2 linked regions of the Lepisosteus oculatus genome follow. The protein of the gene in region 2 interacts with the protein of the main gene of each other region in a pairwise test. Links are inferred from orthologs where the notes say so. Each region holds a gene or a part of one and is shown on either strand. Other genes may lie near its edges. The genes, in order: small COPII coat GTPase SAR1A and slc38a7.

Region 1 (7,723 bases), on a different chromosome or scaffold from region 2:
TTTCTTTGCACAAAAGTGTACTCCTGAAAGTAAATAAAACAATTAATCTTGCCTTTCCCGTTGTCTGTCCATAAAGACCAAAGATTTCTCGCAGTCTCTCTTCACTGATGGCTTCTGGACGGTCTATCTTGTTGCCCAAAATAAGGACTGGCACATTGGAGATTGTCTCATCTGTCAATAGTGCCTGTTAATGAAAACGAATAATGAGCAGTACAACCTTGTACACATTATGTCCTACACAACTATAAACTCCATTCTGCTGTACAAAAGTTAACTTTCTTTTAAATGTGCTGTTACTTGCTTTACAGGGCTAAAATCTCAATAAGAAGCTTTTACAACCATTTTAAAATAACACACAAATACTTTATTTAACCACTGTACCAAAGCACTCTATAACATAGCACGGATAAAACACACAAGTTTAATCTGACGTTTGTATATTTTAAACATCCTATTGGTTTTCTTGAAAATGTTCTCTCCCATTATGGGTTCTATAACTATGTTCTTTTTCATTGTTGGAAAGGACAGCTCAAAATATCACACTCAATACCAAAAATATGTTACACAAATCATTACGACTTCAGGCTGATAATTACATGCCCTAGTTAATTAGTATCTAGTGTTTATATGCAAAACTTCTGCTGGCAGGTCATGCTGCTTATCTTCCCAAAGACGAACATTCAGTCATATCTTCCAGTGTGCGAAGTACACTACTTTGTAAAGCAGAGAATGTAATTTTCTTGCTTAGAAAACATAATTACGATTTACATGCCTTGTGTAGTGTTTTCGTATCAATAGAAATACTGCTGGTTTTACAGTAAAGGACAGTAATGTTCATGTTTTGTATGGCTTAAAAATACAATAATTGTGAAAATTTTCAACATCTGATCCCCCCCCCCAAATTAAAGCACTTCAAAATTATCTTCTCAAGATTCCAGTACTATCACAATTATGCAAACAACTTATGACCTTACGTCAAGCTCTACTTTTGATTCTTGAAGGCGAGGGTGATCTGCACAGTCCACTAGAAAGACAATTCCATTTATAGCTGGGAGGTAATTCTTCCAGACTCTTCTCGCTGTGTAGAAGAAATGACAAACAACTGTTGCAAAAGTGGTATAATGCAGAGGTAAATCACACTAATATGAGTGAGCTTTTCTTATGGAATATTATATACTGATTTTTACATTATATATCATAAAAGTACCAGGACAATCAGCATACAATCATTCCAATAAAAAAAAGAAATCTCTAAACTACAGAAAGCAGCTGCCAGTATCAGCTGGTAACATTAACACTCCTTCAGCTAATGACATTGTAATAGACACCAATATTTTCTACCTTCGCTCACCTTATGTGTTGCTACGCACATTTTGGAACAACACCATCCTGAAAGCACATTTTTCACTGCTTCAAGGTTGTGCTCCTAGCACTACAGGTGCATCAGAGTCATTGCTAATTGATTCATTTTATGGCACCTGTTTTTTTACTTAAAAGGGGAAGTAAACAAATGTAATTGCATCAGAAATGAATTTCTTACCTTGTGCATGTCCACCAAGATCAAATGTTGTGAACGTCATTCCAGCAATTGTTAACTCTTCCGAGGCTATCATAAAAAGAGTGGAAAATTTCATTACATTACAGCAATAAGACTGATGGAAATGATTTTTGTTTACACTATACTACAGCAATGCTTGGAAGAACAAAACATTTAGTCTTCATATCATATTTACAAAAGCATAAATTAGGTTTCACGGACCAAATATCATTTCTACTATGAATTCAGTTAGCTTTTAAATTAAACATCCATTCTAAAAACTGCCAATACTACTAAAAGAAAAAAACACAAAGAGGGAAAGTACTTACTTGGATGTAATGTTGGAACATGCTGCCCAAGCCTATCATCTTTAAGCATATGTAATAATGTTGTTTTGCCAGCATTATCTAAGCCGAGGAAAACTAGCTTCCCAGATTTCTTGTACAAACCTGAAAAGACATTAAAAAAAAAACATCTGGTTGAAAAGAAAAACTAATATCTTCTAAATAAAACTAGGATAGAAGCAATATAGGAGTTTTGAAAAGTATTCTACATATACACCTACACTATTCACTCCAATCAACCATTTACAACCCATAATGTTTTACTGCATTTATATACACAAGTGCCTAAAAACTAGGAAGGACAAATACAGCTGAGGAATCAAGAAATGAAAGCTTTTTCAGGCCAATAATAAAGATAATGTTTACTTTGCTCATAGACAGGAGGAAACAACAAGTGTGATACATTACCTAGAAACTGTAGCACGCTGCTAAAACCTTTATAGATCCAATCAAATATAAATGACATTTCTGTTGTTGTCACCTGAAATAAAACAGAAGTTTTAAGTGAAAAGACAGCAACCTGTTTCGCAGTTACACGACAGATCATGTTGCGTTTTTCCCCCACAGATGAACGTCCTGTACGTCTGAAATACCAAACACTATCCTAACTTAATCGTCTCTTAGCGGCACAAAGTTTCAAGTTGTTCAGAGGGACCGCTTCATCGGCGAGGACAACACCGGCAGCCAGTCGACTACAACCGTTTAATACTCCGCTGCTGTCCAGTGTGGTTTCGTCTGGAACATAAGGCGTCAGAGGCTACTTAAATGCCCTTCTCGACATGCAATTCCATAAATGACGTGCAGAGGCAGCTATGCTTGTCACTGAAGTGTAAATATGCGGAGCCAGCGACACGGGAATGGCCGAGCGCGATTCCCAGCACTCGACCCTCCGGTTTACAGTTACAGGTATTTAAGCCACGTAAGTTTAGATTTGATCACCACCAAAGACAGTTCGTTTCCCTTCAACCAAGGTGGGGGTCGGGGGACTTTGGTTCCATTCTTGTCAAATACGTGACAGCAGGAGGTCTCTTCTCCTTTGCGTCATTTCGCTACTCCATCACCGATATACGGCCCGGGCCGAGAGTTGAAATCGGAACCGAATCACTTTTCCCCAGCTTCAGCACTTGGGTTCGGGCCTAGCACCCAAACACATTCGAACAAGCTTCTTCGAATAGAAACTTTTGTAAATTCGTTAAAGTCACCTCCTTACCTCAGCGTGCCCGTTTCTCTTTAACGCTGTCTGTTCAAAACCGAACCGTACCGCTTTCTCCTTTCGCCGAACTCTCTTCTACCACCGACTGAACACCGGAACCGCGTAAACGCATTGAGTTTCCGGTACCTCTTACCATGACATCACTTCCGCCAAGCGCCGGTGACGATGTTTGCGCGCTCGCGGTGTATGGTATTCACGAATCTCTTCTCATTTCTACGTATCTTACAAGTGATCATATACTTTTTGCAAGAAATGTGAAATTGCAGAAATGTCTAATGACATGTGCATAACATGTATGAGGTTCTTCAGCCTGTATAACAAATTAAGTGTAATGTCACTTTTTAAGAATGTTAAGAATGTACTTATCTTACGCTAACAAGATGTGTGTTTACTCTGCAGGGATGGTGGACTAATTAACACGAAATCCTGTTTAAAATTATTTAGCACTGGAAGTCTGTACTTGGATGTTTTTGGCCAACGTGCTTCTAGATTTCCAAATTTCTAGATCGATCTCTCGACCTGTAAAACATAAATGCCGATTAGAACGATAAGAAAGTTCTGATTTACAGAGGAAAATAGCTCCACCTTTGCCCTTTTTATATGCGGTATTACGGCTCCATTTATGGTTATTCTGGACCCTTATACATTATTACATTAACTCTTGGTATCGAGTTTCGAATTCGTATTTTATTCGCTCACGCTAGCAGCAGATTCTTGTGTGGCTACGTAATTCTTAAAAGCACTAGAGGGCAGCAAAGAATAAAGTATATTTACAAAAAACGTGTTCAGTAAAATTAGGACACTCGAAAACCAGATTGATGTGACAGTTCAATTTTCAAAATTTGCCCTCGATTTAAACTGTGATTTTACCCTTTGTACAATAAAAATATGATAATTGGGCTTCAAAACTGAGACCGCTTTGTCACCAACTCTTTTGAAAAAATTCTAAAAAAAAAATAATACAAAAGCATTTCCTTCTCCAGTTAGCAGAGAAGGAAAATTGTCTCTCTCTCAACATGTTGAGTTCATGAAAACGGGTATTCAGCAGATAATCTGTTGGACTATAATACATTAACTCAGATACCTGGATTTGTGGTATTCCTGCAAGGCACACTACTGCTCCTGCTGTCATATGTTTAATAATATTTGCTAACACTTATATAGCGCTTTTCTGGACACTCCACTCAAAGCGCTTTACAGGTAATGGGGACTCCCCTTCTCCACCACCACCAATGTGCAGCCCCACCTGGATGATGCAACGGCAGCCGTAGTGCGCCAGAACTCTTATCACCTATCAGTGGGGAGGAGAACAGAGTGATGAAGCCAATTCATAGATGGGGAACATTAGGAGGCCATGATTGGTAAGGGCCAATGGGGAATTTTGGCCAGGATGCCGGGGTTACACCCCTCCTCTTTTTGAGAAACGCCCTGGGATTTTTAATGACCACAGAGACTCAGGACCTCAGTTTTACGTTTACCTCAGGCAACTGTTCTGCTTCCAGAGCAGCAATAACCCTCAAATGACCTTTAATAACGTTCATGATTATATAATCCTGCTCATCCCAATGGAGACTAACGTGTTTGACCCCCTAGAAAAGGTCCACCTCACCTACCACTGAACTTCAGCACCCTCCTTTGTGATACACCACAGCCATTCCCAAATGTAAGTCAGACAGATACAAACATTCCTTTTCCCACTATCCATTAAAGCTGTAACACAAATGTCAAGGATAAACACAATTTGGACTCTTACAACCCACTTGACTGCAATATGTTTTTGTAATGTGTTATAAATGTTACATGTTGTTATGTGTTATACTGTGCAGTAGAATGATGTGCAATGTTTTTCTTTTTTTGTAATAGTATAATGTGCAATGTTTTTCTTCTTTTTTTTTGCATTCTATTCTATTTAAATGTACAGGAGTGCTGGGTGTCCATATAAAATTTCCCTCAGGGGACAATAAAATCTAATCTTATCTGTCTTATTTGAACATGGTGGTCCTGGTCACAATGAAATGTAAAATCTGGTCTGGGGGAAAGTGCGCCACCTGCTGGACTATTGTCATTACAGCAGGTCTCCCATCCCGACCGGGTCAGCCGATCTTAGCATTACAGATCTAGGAGATCAGACTACAAGTTGGTGACACTTCTGCTACAAGGGTAGCATTTTTTAACAGTACTGCAGATGAATACAGAAGAACAGTCTGAACACAGAAAACAGATGTCTTACGAAGAGGAAAGGTTTTATTAAAGCAACATTGTAGTGCTTGCAGCTGCAGCTCCTGGGTTTTAACAGATTAATTACAATGATTGGAAATCTATAGCAAAAGAGTTCAAGTCTTAAAGGCTTTCATAAATAAAGTAAAACACAAGCTAGTTTTATTGTGACTGATTCATTCATGTCTTCCTAACTTTGATATTAATGGGAGATTATGTTATTTTCCACCATTGCCTACTTTTTTGATATGCTTAAATACATAAAACCTAATATTTAAAGACTGATTCAAGTACAGTTTCTAGGCAGATGACAAAGAGCTCTGATCCACCCTTCAGGTATTCCTCTCGGATCACTGCTATCCCAAATAGTGCCACTTGTCCACTGCAAAAAAAAAGTATTTTAAACCAAATTTTGAAGTGCATTTGTTGCTGTAAATCATCACATGGTTGGAGTATTTTATCTGATTGATTCACTCCATCATAAAATTAACAATTTAATACAGCTGGCATTAAATTAAGATTTCAACCCCCCAACTTAGTGCATGAGGGAAGGGATTCCTGGCCATTAGAAATGCAATTCACAGATAGCCACAGTATTTCATATGGGTCTGCATCTCCTTATTCTCAATTGTGAAAAATCTGGGAATAGATATCAGCCTTTTTAAAGTTTCCTGAACTACTTTGAAAAGTTAACAAAAAAACAAGACAATTGTATCTGAAGTTTGACCATAAAAGTGTGAAAGTTCCCCTTTACAACAACTGGGTATTTTGTGTCAAAGTAAGAGGCCAGTTTTAGTCATATCCTTTAACAAAAAATAGAAAAAATCCTCAAAAAGTTGAATGAATTGTACACACCTGTTGATGGAAGAGGTTCTGGATTTCCACAAGGACAGGTCTACAACAGCAAGGAAACAGACGTGACATCAGACAGTCTGACATTTACACTTCATACTTACTACTTAAAGTTCAGAATGGAAAAAAAACCCTTTAAAACAAGCATTGAGATATAAACAAAACATTCTGAACTTGTCAAAGTGATCTTTCAAGAGCTGCATCATGAAATAAGATCACCCAGTGGTATCACATTACGCTCTCGGGTTCACGTGGGTATGCGCCCTCGCCACTGCCGCCTCAGGTTGGCCCCCCCATTGCTGGAGACTCGAACCCAGGCCTCCAGCGTCACTCAACAGAGACCCAGCCAGTTGAGCTAAAGGGAAATCTCCTGTCAGCCCGACAGCTGTGGTCCCTGCTATCCACAGGGAAGGGCGGTGACGTCACCGCGCTGGGAAGCCGGCTCGCACAACCTCTAATGTCAGCCGTATGCGTTACATTACCATTTAAAATACCCACTACAATAACACAGAATGTGTGGACCATAACAGCATATAAGCAGAAAACTTACTGCATCAATAACAGCCTGAGCCTCTGCTTCAGAGCAACAGAAAGGACTGTCCGAGATGCAAGTGTTTGTACTGTAGTGAAAGAAAAAAATCCCATTTAAGATCTTTAACACCTTCCAGTTAGTACTAAAATGAAAGTATAAATCCAGCAAAGCTTCAGCTTCCAGACTGAGTCGTCTTATGAAGACGGCTGACTGTCAATGTTTTTCTATTGTCATATAAGTACTACGTGACCTAGTTTCTCTTAGTGACATTTCAAATATTTCAATGCAAAGTGCTTTCTTTCCGCTGCATTTTTTACATCTTTAATGCATAACGTACTTCAATCTGAAGTGAAACCAAGACTAACTAGTTACAAGTACTAACTACTCATATGTGCAGTGTATGACTTCAGAATGAATACCTGCTCTTTACAAACCTGGGTATCCACAGCTGGTCTATTTCTAGACTGCTGCACAGATGTAGTTCAAATATATATTTTTAATTCTCTTAAAAAAATCTGTTTTAGTAAACGGGGCTTGCAGAACCTGGGCCTTAAAATTCGGCCACTTCAAAATGTTAGCAACTCACCAGCTCAGTTCCCCACTGCTCGTCTTTTTAGACACCAGAGCTTTCCAAAAACCATGGGTGCTCTTTATGATCTCGATGGCAAAGTCCTGCAAACAAAGGAACGTAAATTTGAACCTTATGTGCATTAGCATCCACATGCCTAGATCTGCTGCACCTCGGGGCTACTGCAATTACAGAATGATTCCAATCAGCTCCCTGCTTCAAGAGCAGGCCACCATCAGGAGCAAATACTGATCATGCCAAATGCCCGGCTGAAATTTGTAGCTTTGCAGCCCACTTAACACAGTTCTACAGTGATGACCGATTTATATCATAATTGATTGATTCTGTGAATCTGCATGGCGAAGTGGAATTGTGGCACTGAGTAAGAAGAGCGTGACAAGGGACTTTGATTGCTGATTGCCTAATTAACACCACATAGAAATCGAACACATCCAGCAGA
Region 2 (8,145 bases):
TCTCCCCGGCGTCTTCGCTCCAGCCCCAGTCCGCGCCCTCGCTGTTGATCGCCATGACCGGCCGGGACATCGCAGCGCCTCGCCCTTCCTCCTCCTCCTCCACTCCTCCCGCTCCCCGCGCACAGAGGAGGTTCGCCCCTGGGGTGACCGCGGAGCCCAGAACGGTCTGCGACGTGGGTGCAGGAGCGAGGCCGCGAAGGGTGGGCGAGTCAGAGACGTGGCCCCTCGGGAAGAGCTCACTGCGGGCCACCGGGCGCTGGGGATCCTCTCGGGGTGTCGGCTGCTGCCCCCTGCATCACTCCCCCAGCACAGTCTGTTTCAGGGTCCGCAGGGCCTGCTGTCTTCTGGGCTCCCCACCAACCTGCGTGGCCAATTAGTCAATTAACCACGCCGTTCTTTAAATCAGACACGTATGACTTTCCTTAAGGTCTTCCTCAGCTGATTCCCCAGGACTACCGCTTCAGGTGAGGTACAGTTGCCAGCAATCACCCCAGAGCCTGCACTGAAATACGACCATCTTTGTGGCTAATTCAACAATTAGACCCACTATGTAACCGAGCACACGGGTGGATTAAACTCAGAGGACGTTCAGGCCCTCCGAGAATTGAGCTTGAAACTTCTGGTCTAACCTTTAGGACAGGGATGTGCAGAGCAGGGCGGCTACACTGGCTCAAGCCCCTTTGCCCTCATGGGCCCAAGTGCCTCTTTTTGCTTGTAGAAAAAAAGTCCAACCAATTTAATTTTTTTTGGTTTTTGCCACTTGACGATTCTGCCTCTGTATTTAGTACGAATCTCCCATTAGGAAAATAAAATGTCGGACCTAATCGATCTCATCTGAGCACCAGCGCCCGCCTCCCGTTGGTTGTAAAAAGCAGCGAGAAGCGACGAAGGCTACTCCACCTGTGGAGATCGTGTTAAACATTTTTGAATGGTGAGAAGATACACAGATTTTCAGAAGGACTGTACAAAAGTAACACTCCAAGGGTGTCGTATTGAGCACTTTGTGTTTAAAAAATACTATTTTCATTCACCTACTCTACGTTTGCAAACCGTCGAATTCGCCACGTTATTGTCTGCGTGGCTGCTTAGCTAGATTTGAGATTTCCTTAAGAAAACTGAGTTCACCGAGTAGACAAGCCAGTCTTTTTGTATTGGACATAAACAGCTAACATGCATAGTCTTTGTTGTATACAGTATATAAGGTTCAGTCACAGAAACAGGAGAACATGGCTCCAGAAAAAAAAGAAAAAGAAGAGAGAGAATTTAGGGAGGACATCGCTTCAACAACTGGGTCACAACTAGCGGCGTACAGACAGGAAAATGGTCATCAAAAAAGCCAGTTCCTTAGGCTACATTCCATGTGCGCCTCAATAACAGAAGAGTCTTGCCTCACAAGAATGATTACATCGGTAAATGTTGTACGACTTCAGTTTTGATGAATATGTAATTAGATGCCGATTGTTTCATTTGCTCTGTCCTCTTATTAAGCTGTGTTATATCAGGAAAATAAAGTATATATTCAGTGGAGCGGGTGTAATATCTTGTCTGTTAATCAAACATAATCAGCAATTATGGACAACCATTTATTTTGCCAAGGTTGGGAATATGATTAACGCCTCTGAGGTCGCATCCAAACTTCCATTCAAATTAAAAAAACACAGAAACACAAGCGGGCGCTGATCTGTGTCCAGGATACTCGTATGTAACAAAATCCCAGGAAAGTGCACCTTCTCCCCTTTTGAGCCACTGCCCACCAAAAGGACTCTGCACGTCTCTGCTGTTGGATAATAGTCATTTTATTTTCACACTCGCGTCTGAGTTATTCCGCTTTAGATGGGGAACAAGACAGAATTCCTGACATGACGTCAGCTGCTTGCCGGTCTTATATGGGCTCTTTCTCTCGTACTTTGTTCCTGTTTAAATTTTCACACCGCTCTGAAGATCTCTGTTCCTCAAGAGGCGAGGAAGAAACAAGGCATTGCTTACGCGACACAGAAATAGAAAGGAACTTCATTAAAGCAACGACGGGTTTTCAAAATTATATAGTAACTGCTCCTCAACAAATAAGGTCTCCGATCTAGGAGACACCACTATTTCCCTTGGAAAACTAAATAACAGTATCTTCTGTACTGACCAGCATACATGTCACTGCATGTCGTAATATTCTTGGTCTTGTGATTCAAAATCTGTACTGCGGTCTAAGCCTGTAAAAGGATCTATAATTGCTTACTACTGGAAAAAAAAATATTTCAGTTTTGCTACCGTAAAATTTCATGATCAAGATCAGCTTTATTTGTAATGCACTATTAAAAAATAAAAATCACCGTGGAGTACTCTAAATAAGGCTTTGTTATGTTAATTCTCTGTATGCCATTATTACTTCAAGTCCTCAAAAACAACTCGAGGGACTGAAACCATCTCCTGCAATTCAAATCCAAATCATGTTTCACTTTGAAACGGGTCAGTGGGCAAACGTGAGGAACCTCTGCAGGGCTTGAACCCACCTTTCGCATAAATCCTGCCTTCCTCGCACATGCTAACTTAAATCACAACGGGTCACCATATTGACCTCAGGGAAAGGACAGAGGGAGACTCGGTGTCCACATTCCTCATGTTTTCACTGATCACAGGTGAATCAAACCTCAGATACGGGTAAGGAAACACCAGTCTGACGTGCTATATTCACTAGAATTTCAGTTCACCTATACACACGCTGTAAATGAAATCATTCACGCCGGACAGGGGGCATGCTGGTGTTGGTAGGACGGCGTGCTTTCGGTTTTCAGAGTCGGAGCAGCACCTGAGAAGCTGTTAAGCTTATCAGCTACACCAGCCGATTCAGCTTGCTAAGAGGAGAGTCAGAATGAAATACTGTCTCTCCACGACCAGGCTCGGAGACACCTCATTTAAACTAGCACGCTTGGCTTGCGGATTGTGTGTATGCACAAATCGCCCAGCATCGATACCGACCTTATCATCGCCTCATTCCTTTTGTGACTCCCTACATGCCGCTCGGAAGCTAATAAATTCCTTAACGCAGTAACATTCAGTGAGTTCACAGGCACGTTTGGAAAGAAAACACAATGCTAGTAAGCGAAGGCATTCACTGAACAGACACACTCACCAACCGGTATCTCCTCTCGCTCGCCTTATTGTAGCTGCTGGGGCAGATTCCTCCTGCTGATCCAGCTGCAGTGACATGTGATTGTCACGTGACCTGCTCGCCCTCACGCGAGACAGGTGGATCATGGGAACTGTAGTTTTGGGTTAGGTTGGTTTTTTTTCCTTGTCCTGGAAGGTTTCCTTAGTTGTTGCTAAGTTTATTAGTATTACACTTTTCTGTAGTTGCAGCTCCGTCGAAACATAACGCGGGGTACAACTGTAAGCATTACTGTTCACTATCAATAACGGCAAAAACATTTAAAAAACTAAATGTGATTAATTCGTGTTTCTATATTGATATTAAGTAGAGTTATGTTGAGTTGCGTTTAGTATTATTTAAAAGAGCCCCCAGGTTTTTTTGTAAAGATAGGTTTATGAAAATAGTCTGTACTTTTTTAATGCTATTTAGTCCCTCGTTTATTTTACCGGTGCGCGTAATAGCTGCGTTGCAGGCAATTTGGTACTCAGTTCAGCTGTGCCACCCATACGCCTCTGCTAGTTCTTAAAATGGATAAATATTACACAAATCTCTGCAGCAGAAAAGGAGGTGGAGAAAAGGAAGAGAGGAATAACAACGACTTGGTGTGAATGCACGAGTGTGGGTGTTCAGAATGGACTGGACCGCCCGGTTATCATCCTGCCGGGAGTTCATTGTCAGCCGGGTTTCTGGGCTCGCCGCGACCCCGTGTACTGAACACAGTACAGTATGAAAATGTACTTGTGTGAGTTGTTCCGCCGTAATTTTTTTTTCCTGCTCTGCCCCTTTAAGAACTAAAGGGGGGAAAAGGTGGAGTCTCTCATTTTCAAACTGTAAACTCCTCCCAGGCCCTCGTCTTTCTTCCTTGTTCTCTAAAATGGCTAAAATGGGCGCAGCCTTAGAGAGGCTCGGCGTACAGCCGGAGTGCCCTCTGTGCCACCGAGAATGCCGGCAGCCGACCACTCTGAGATGTGGGCACCTCTTCTGTCAGGGCTGCATCCAGGAGCTGTGGAGCACCTCTCAGACTGGCCCTTACTACTGCCCTGAGTGCAGGGCAGAGTACAGGAAACTGCCAGCCCTGGGAGGAGAGAGAGAGCAGCCCTCGGCGCCTGCCACAGAGGCAGAGAGGCCCTCCACCAGCAGCACTGTGCCCTGCAACTACTGCATCACCTCCAGCCGGCCGGCCGTGAAGACCTGCCTGGTGTGTGGAGCCTCCATGTGCGCGGAGCACCTGAAAATCCACCTGGAGGTGGCGGTGTTCCAGGGCCACCCCCTGGTGCAGCCCACGGCCGACATCTCTCTGTGGAAGTGCGTGGAGCACCAGGAGATGCTGAAGATCTACTGCCGGGAGTGCGAGGAGTGCATCTGCACCATGTGCACGCTCGTCGGCGCGCACAAGGGCCACCAGTGCGTCGGCGTGGGCGAGGCTGAGCAGGAGCTCAGGGTGAGAGGCGGGATTCTCTGCAGCTCTGTGTGTGTGTCCCTGGGCTCTGTGTCTACTGCTCTGGCTCGTGAATGATACACTGATCCTTCTGGTACTACCGATGGCAGAGGGCCTGCAGCAGGATGTGTTGCACACACTGCTGTCACAGCACAAATCTCCTGATATAGTAACTTTGCTGAGCTTCAAACTGTGTGCGAACCCCATTTTAACTACACATACTCATTATAGGAACAAGTAATGGTTTATTCCATGCTGAAAAGATAAGAAAGAAACGTTGTGTTTACTCTCTTCTCTCTTCAGCATGGAATAAACCTGTACTTGTTCCTTTGCAGGCTACGCATGCTGACGCAGCTCCCCACCTGACATACTCATTATAGTGTTTGTACAGTAGAGACTCTGATCCAGCCAATACTGCTACGATCACTGCAGCTGCTATTACTACAACTAATAACAACATTACATTTTTTTCCTTTCAGGGGAAATTGAAAGAAGGGATGATTAAAATACAGGAAAATGTTCAGATTGTCGAAGACAGACTTACTTTGCTGCAGGAGAAGAAACTGAACATCCAGGTGGGTTAGAGCTCGGTGTTGTGGTAAACTATGTCCTCGCTGTGGATAAGACAGACACTCCAGGTGTCATCTGCCCAGATATACAGCTTACAAGTGTGTAAATACAGGGGTGACCTGCAAGGCTATATTTATATTTTGGGGTTAGAGAGAATCAGCATTGATGTGTGCTTTGCAAACCACAATGTAAGTCAGATGTACACAGTAACTTGTAAAAACCTCCATTTTACATCACAAAATAGACTAAATGTCCATGTCTGAGCAGCGCCATGTTCTGTGAATTAGAATGAGTCAACAAAACCTCCGGTGATGTGAAGCAGACTTGTTACATGGTAAACACGCAGCTTGTGAAGACCTCTCCCTTCATCCAATAGAGATGTTGCTCTCAGTTTCTCGGTTTTACCTACAAATATCACTTGTTAACTGCATGCAGATCACGGTGGAACATTTCTGCCATGAAATGTCTGCTGCACAACCTGTACTTATTCCCTCGCACATCACAGAGAGTACATCACGTCACATTAGTCAATAGAGAAACTAGTGAGCAGGAAGGGCCGCTTCCCATTGCAAATCGCGAACTCTCACTCTTGCCCGTGGCGAGACCAGTGCTTTGCCACAACATGGCGACTTACAGTACTTTCACAAAGTTCAGTATTTTGTGCTAAATTCAACATTTGTAAATCTGATCTATACCATCAGTGAATTTATTTTCCTACCGAGGTTTAATAACCAGTCTGAGAAATTGGGACTGCAGTTCCCCTTTAACAACATAAGCTGTATATATAACACAAGCTGCCGACTGTCTTTCCTGGGACTAGTCTTCCAGAGCTCCCTGATCACAGTTTTGGATTAACTGTAAGAGAAGTGAGATGCCACTGACAGGAGTTTCATTCGCTACTGGGTGAGGTATAAGAGCCAAGAAAGCTACATTAATGTTCTGTCCAGTGTGCTTTAATGGACTCGGTCCAGTCCAGTCCGGTCCAGTGTGCTTTAATGGACTCGGTCCAGTCCGGTCCAGTCCACTGTGCTTTAATGGACTCGGTCCAGTCCAGTCCACTATGCTTTAATGGACTCAGTCCAGTCCAGTCCTGTCCACTGTGCTTTAATGGACACTGTCCAGTCCTGTCCAGTGTGCTTTAATGGACTCGGTCCAGTCCAGTCCAGTGTGCTTTAATGGACTCGGTCCAATCCGGTCCAGTCCACTGTGCTTTAATGGACACTGTCCAGTCTGGTCCAGTGTGCTTTAATGGACTTGGTGACTGAGCCGCAGTGGGACGGCTAAGAGGGCTCATGCTCCTGTTCCCCCAGTTAGCGGTCAGCCAGGCCAGGGCCCATGTCCAGCAGCAGTACGAGGCCATGCGAGCGGCCCTGGACGCAGAGGAGCAGCTGGCCCTGCAGAGCCTGTCCCGGGAGGAGAGCCGGGCTCTAGGCGACATCGAGGCCCAGCTGGAGCAGCTCCAGGACACACTGCAGCTCACGCAGAAGAACATGGGCGCGCTGGAGAGCCTGTCCGACACCAGGGGGACGTCTCGGATCCGAGACCAGGCCTTTGTCCTGGTACGGTACACCCGGGGGATGGCTTTGAGCTCAGATTTTGCCTAGCGACGCAGTTTGCGCTCCCAGCCAGCTGAGATCTGCTGTGATTTGAAAGAGGTTACACGGACTTTAACATTTTTGTGCCAGCTAGGTGGTGGTGGTTTTTGCTGTTGTCAATCATTATTTTGCACGTCTGCCCCAGTATAGCGACGGGGACATTATACTGTAAACAAGCGCCGTCTTTCGGATGAGACGTAAAACCGTGGTCCTGACTCTCTGTGGTCATTAAAAATCCCAGGGTGTTTCTCGAAAAGAGTAGGGGTGTAACCCCGGTGTCCTGTCCAGATTTCCCACGCCTCCTAATAATCCCCCTCTATGAATTGGCTACGTTACTTTGTTCTCCTCCCCCACCCCACCCCCTCTGACGGCAGGCGGTGCAACACGCCGGTTGGAGTATTTCTCGGTCGCATTTAATGGCAACATCAGCTCAAAGATTTGATTCAAACCACCAAATGGAGACGGGCGTGCCGACAAGCGGACCCTGCTGATGCGGGATTAACGCTAGGATGAAAGAGAATAATTATTTTGTACGTCAGGTTACTCTTGTGAAGCAAAACTGGCATTTGCATAAGAAAGCACAGACCTTCTTGTTCTTATCTTGAATAGGTAAATGTATATCATGTTGAATTAAGCGATCACTGTCAGTTGAAGGTGGGAGGCAGTGGCAGAAAGCCTTCTCAATAAATCAAAGTGTTGTTCGTAGCATTTACAGACCCTGATGTTCTTAGGTGTACTAAGGGTGATGACTAGAATTGAAGTTTTTGGGACAAGCGTTCAGAATGGAGAAAATGCACTAGAACCAACCCCACTGATGCACTCCTGTTTCTGCTAGAAGTATTCTAACTGGATTTTTTCAATGTTTCCCACAGGAATACAGCAAGATATCCAAGAGGTAAGTCTTCATTAAATGCAGTCAGCATGCACATAAAACTTTCTCAGACGTACTGAAACAAACTAACTTACTGACAAACTAAGAGCCTGTGAACAATGTAGCCCAATAATTTGTGTACTAATGATGATCCTGGACCAGTATAAAGCATTGAACACGCCTGTCTGGGAAATCCTGCTATTTCTCTGGGCTGAACTGTACTGCGGGTGGTGTAATCATGATTTCGCTTTGTGCCCATCGCAGTATGAGACAGATGTGCAGCCCAGTGGAGGAGCTGACCCCCCCCAGGGAACTGGACCAAATGAGGCTGGACAGACTGCAGGAGTGGACTGACAGGAGGCTGGACACTGTGAGCCTCACCACAGGGACCGACAGGGACTCCCTCCGGGTGCTCTGTGAGTTCGAAAACACTTCCGGATTCCAGGTCCTGTAACGAAGGATATTGGAACTGTGGTCCAGGACTGTGCTGCACTTTAGCAGCAGCAGGGCCTGACAGTCCAGATTGTAA

Evidence for each region.
Region 1: the proteins of slc38a7 (region 2) and small COPII coat GTPase SAR1A interact in binary tests that used the Homo sapiens proteins (3 or more experiments, as listed by UniProt). The link is inferred for Lepisosteus oculatus from reciprocal best matches to the Homo sapiens genes SLC38A7 and SAR1A.

The regions. Positions count from the first base shown.
Region 1 is NC_090699.1:19,536,778-19,544,500, reverse strand, and holds the start of small COPII coat GTPase SAR1A, read right to left. Parts: upstream 3,220-7,723; 5' UTR 3,092-3,219; intron 2,363-3,091; 5' UTR 2,348-2,362; coding exon 2,290-2,347; intron 1,987-2,289; coding exon 1,867-1,986; intron 1,607-1,866; coding exon 1,541-1,606; intron 1,079-1,540; coding exon 975-1,078; intron 185-974; coding exon 53-184; intron 1-52. Other genes in the region: inorganic pyrophosphatase, read right to left, coding at 5,668-5,693, 6,167-6,206, 6,714-6,783, 7,282-7,367. UniProt on the Homo sapiens protein: Small GTPase that cycles between an active GTP-bound and an inactive GDP-bound state and mainly functions in vesicle-mediated endoplasmic reticulum (ER) to Golgi transport.
Region 2 is NC_090715.1:4,400,277-4,408,421, reverse strand, and holds the start of slc38a7 (sodium-coupled neutral amino acid transporter 7), read right to left. Parts: upstream 3,212-8,145; 5' UTR 3,125-3,211; intron 362-3,124; 5' UTR 71-361; coding exon 1-70. Other genes in the region: E3 ubiquitin/ISG15 ligase TRIM25, read left to right, coding at 4,017-4,583, 5,060-5,155, 6,461-6,709, 7,618-7,640, 7,881-8,032. UniProt on the Homo sapiens protein: Symporter that selectively cotransports sodium ions and amino acids, such as L-glutamine and L-asparagine from the lysosome into the cytoplasm and may participates in mTORC1 activation. The transport activity requires an acidic lysosomal lumen.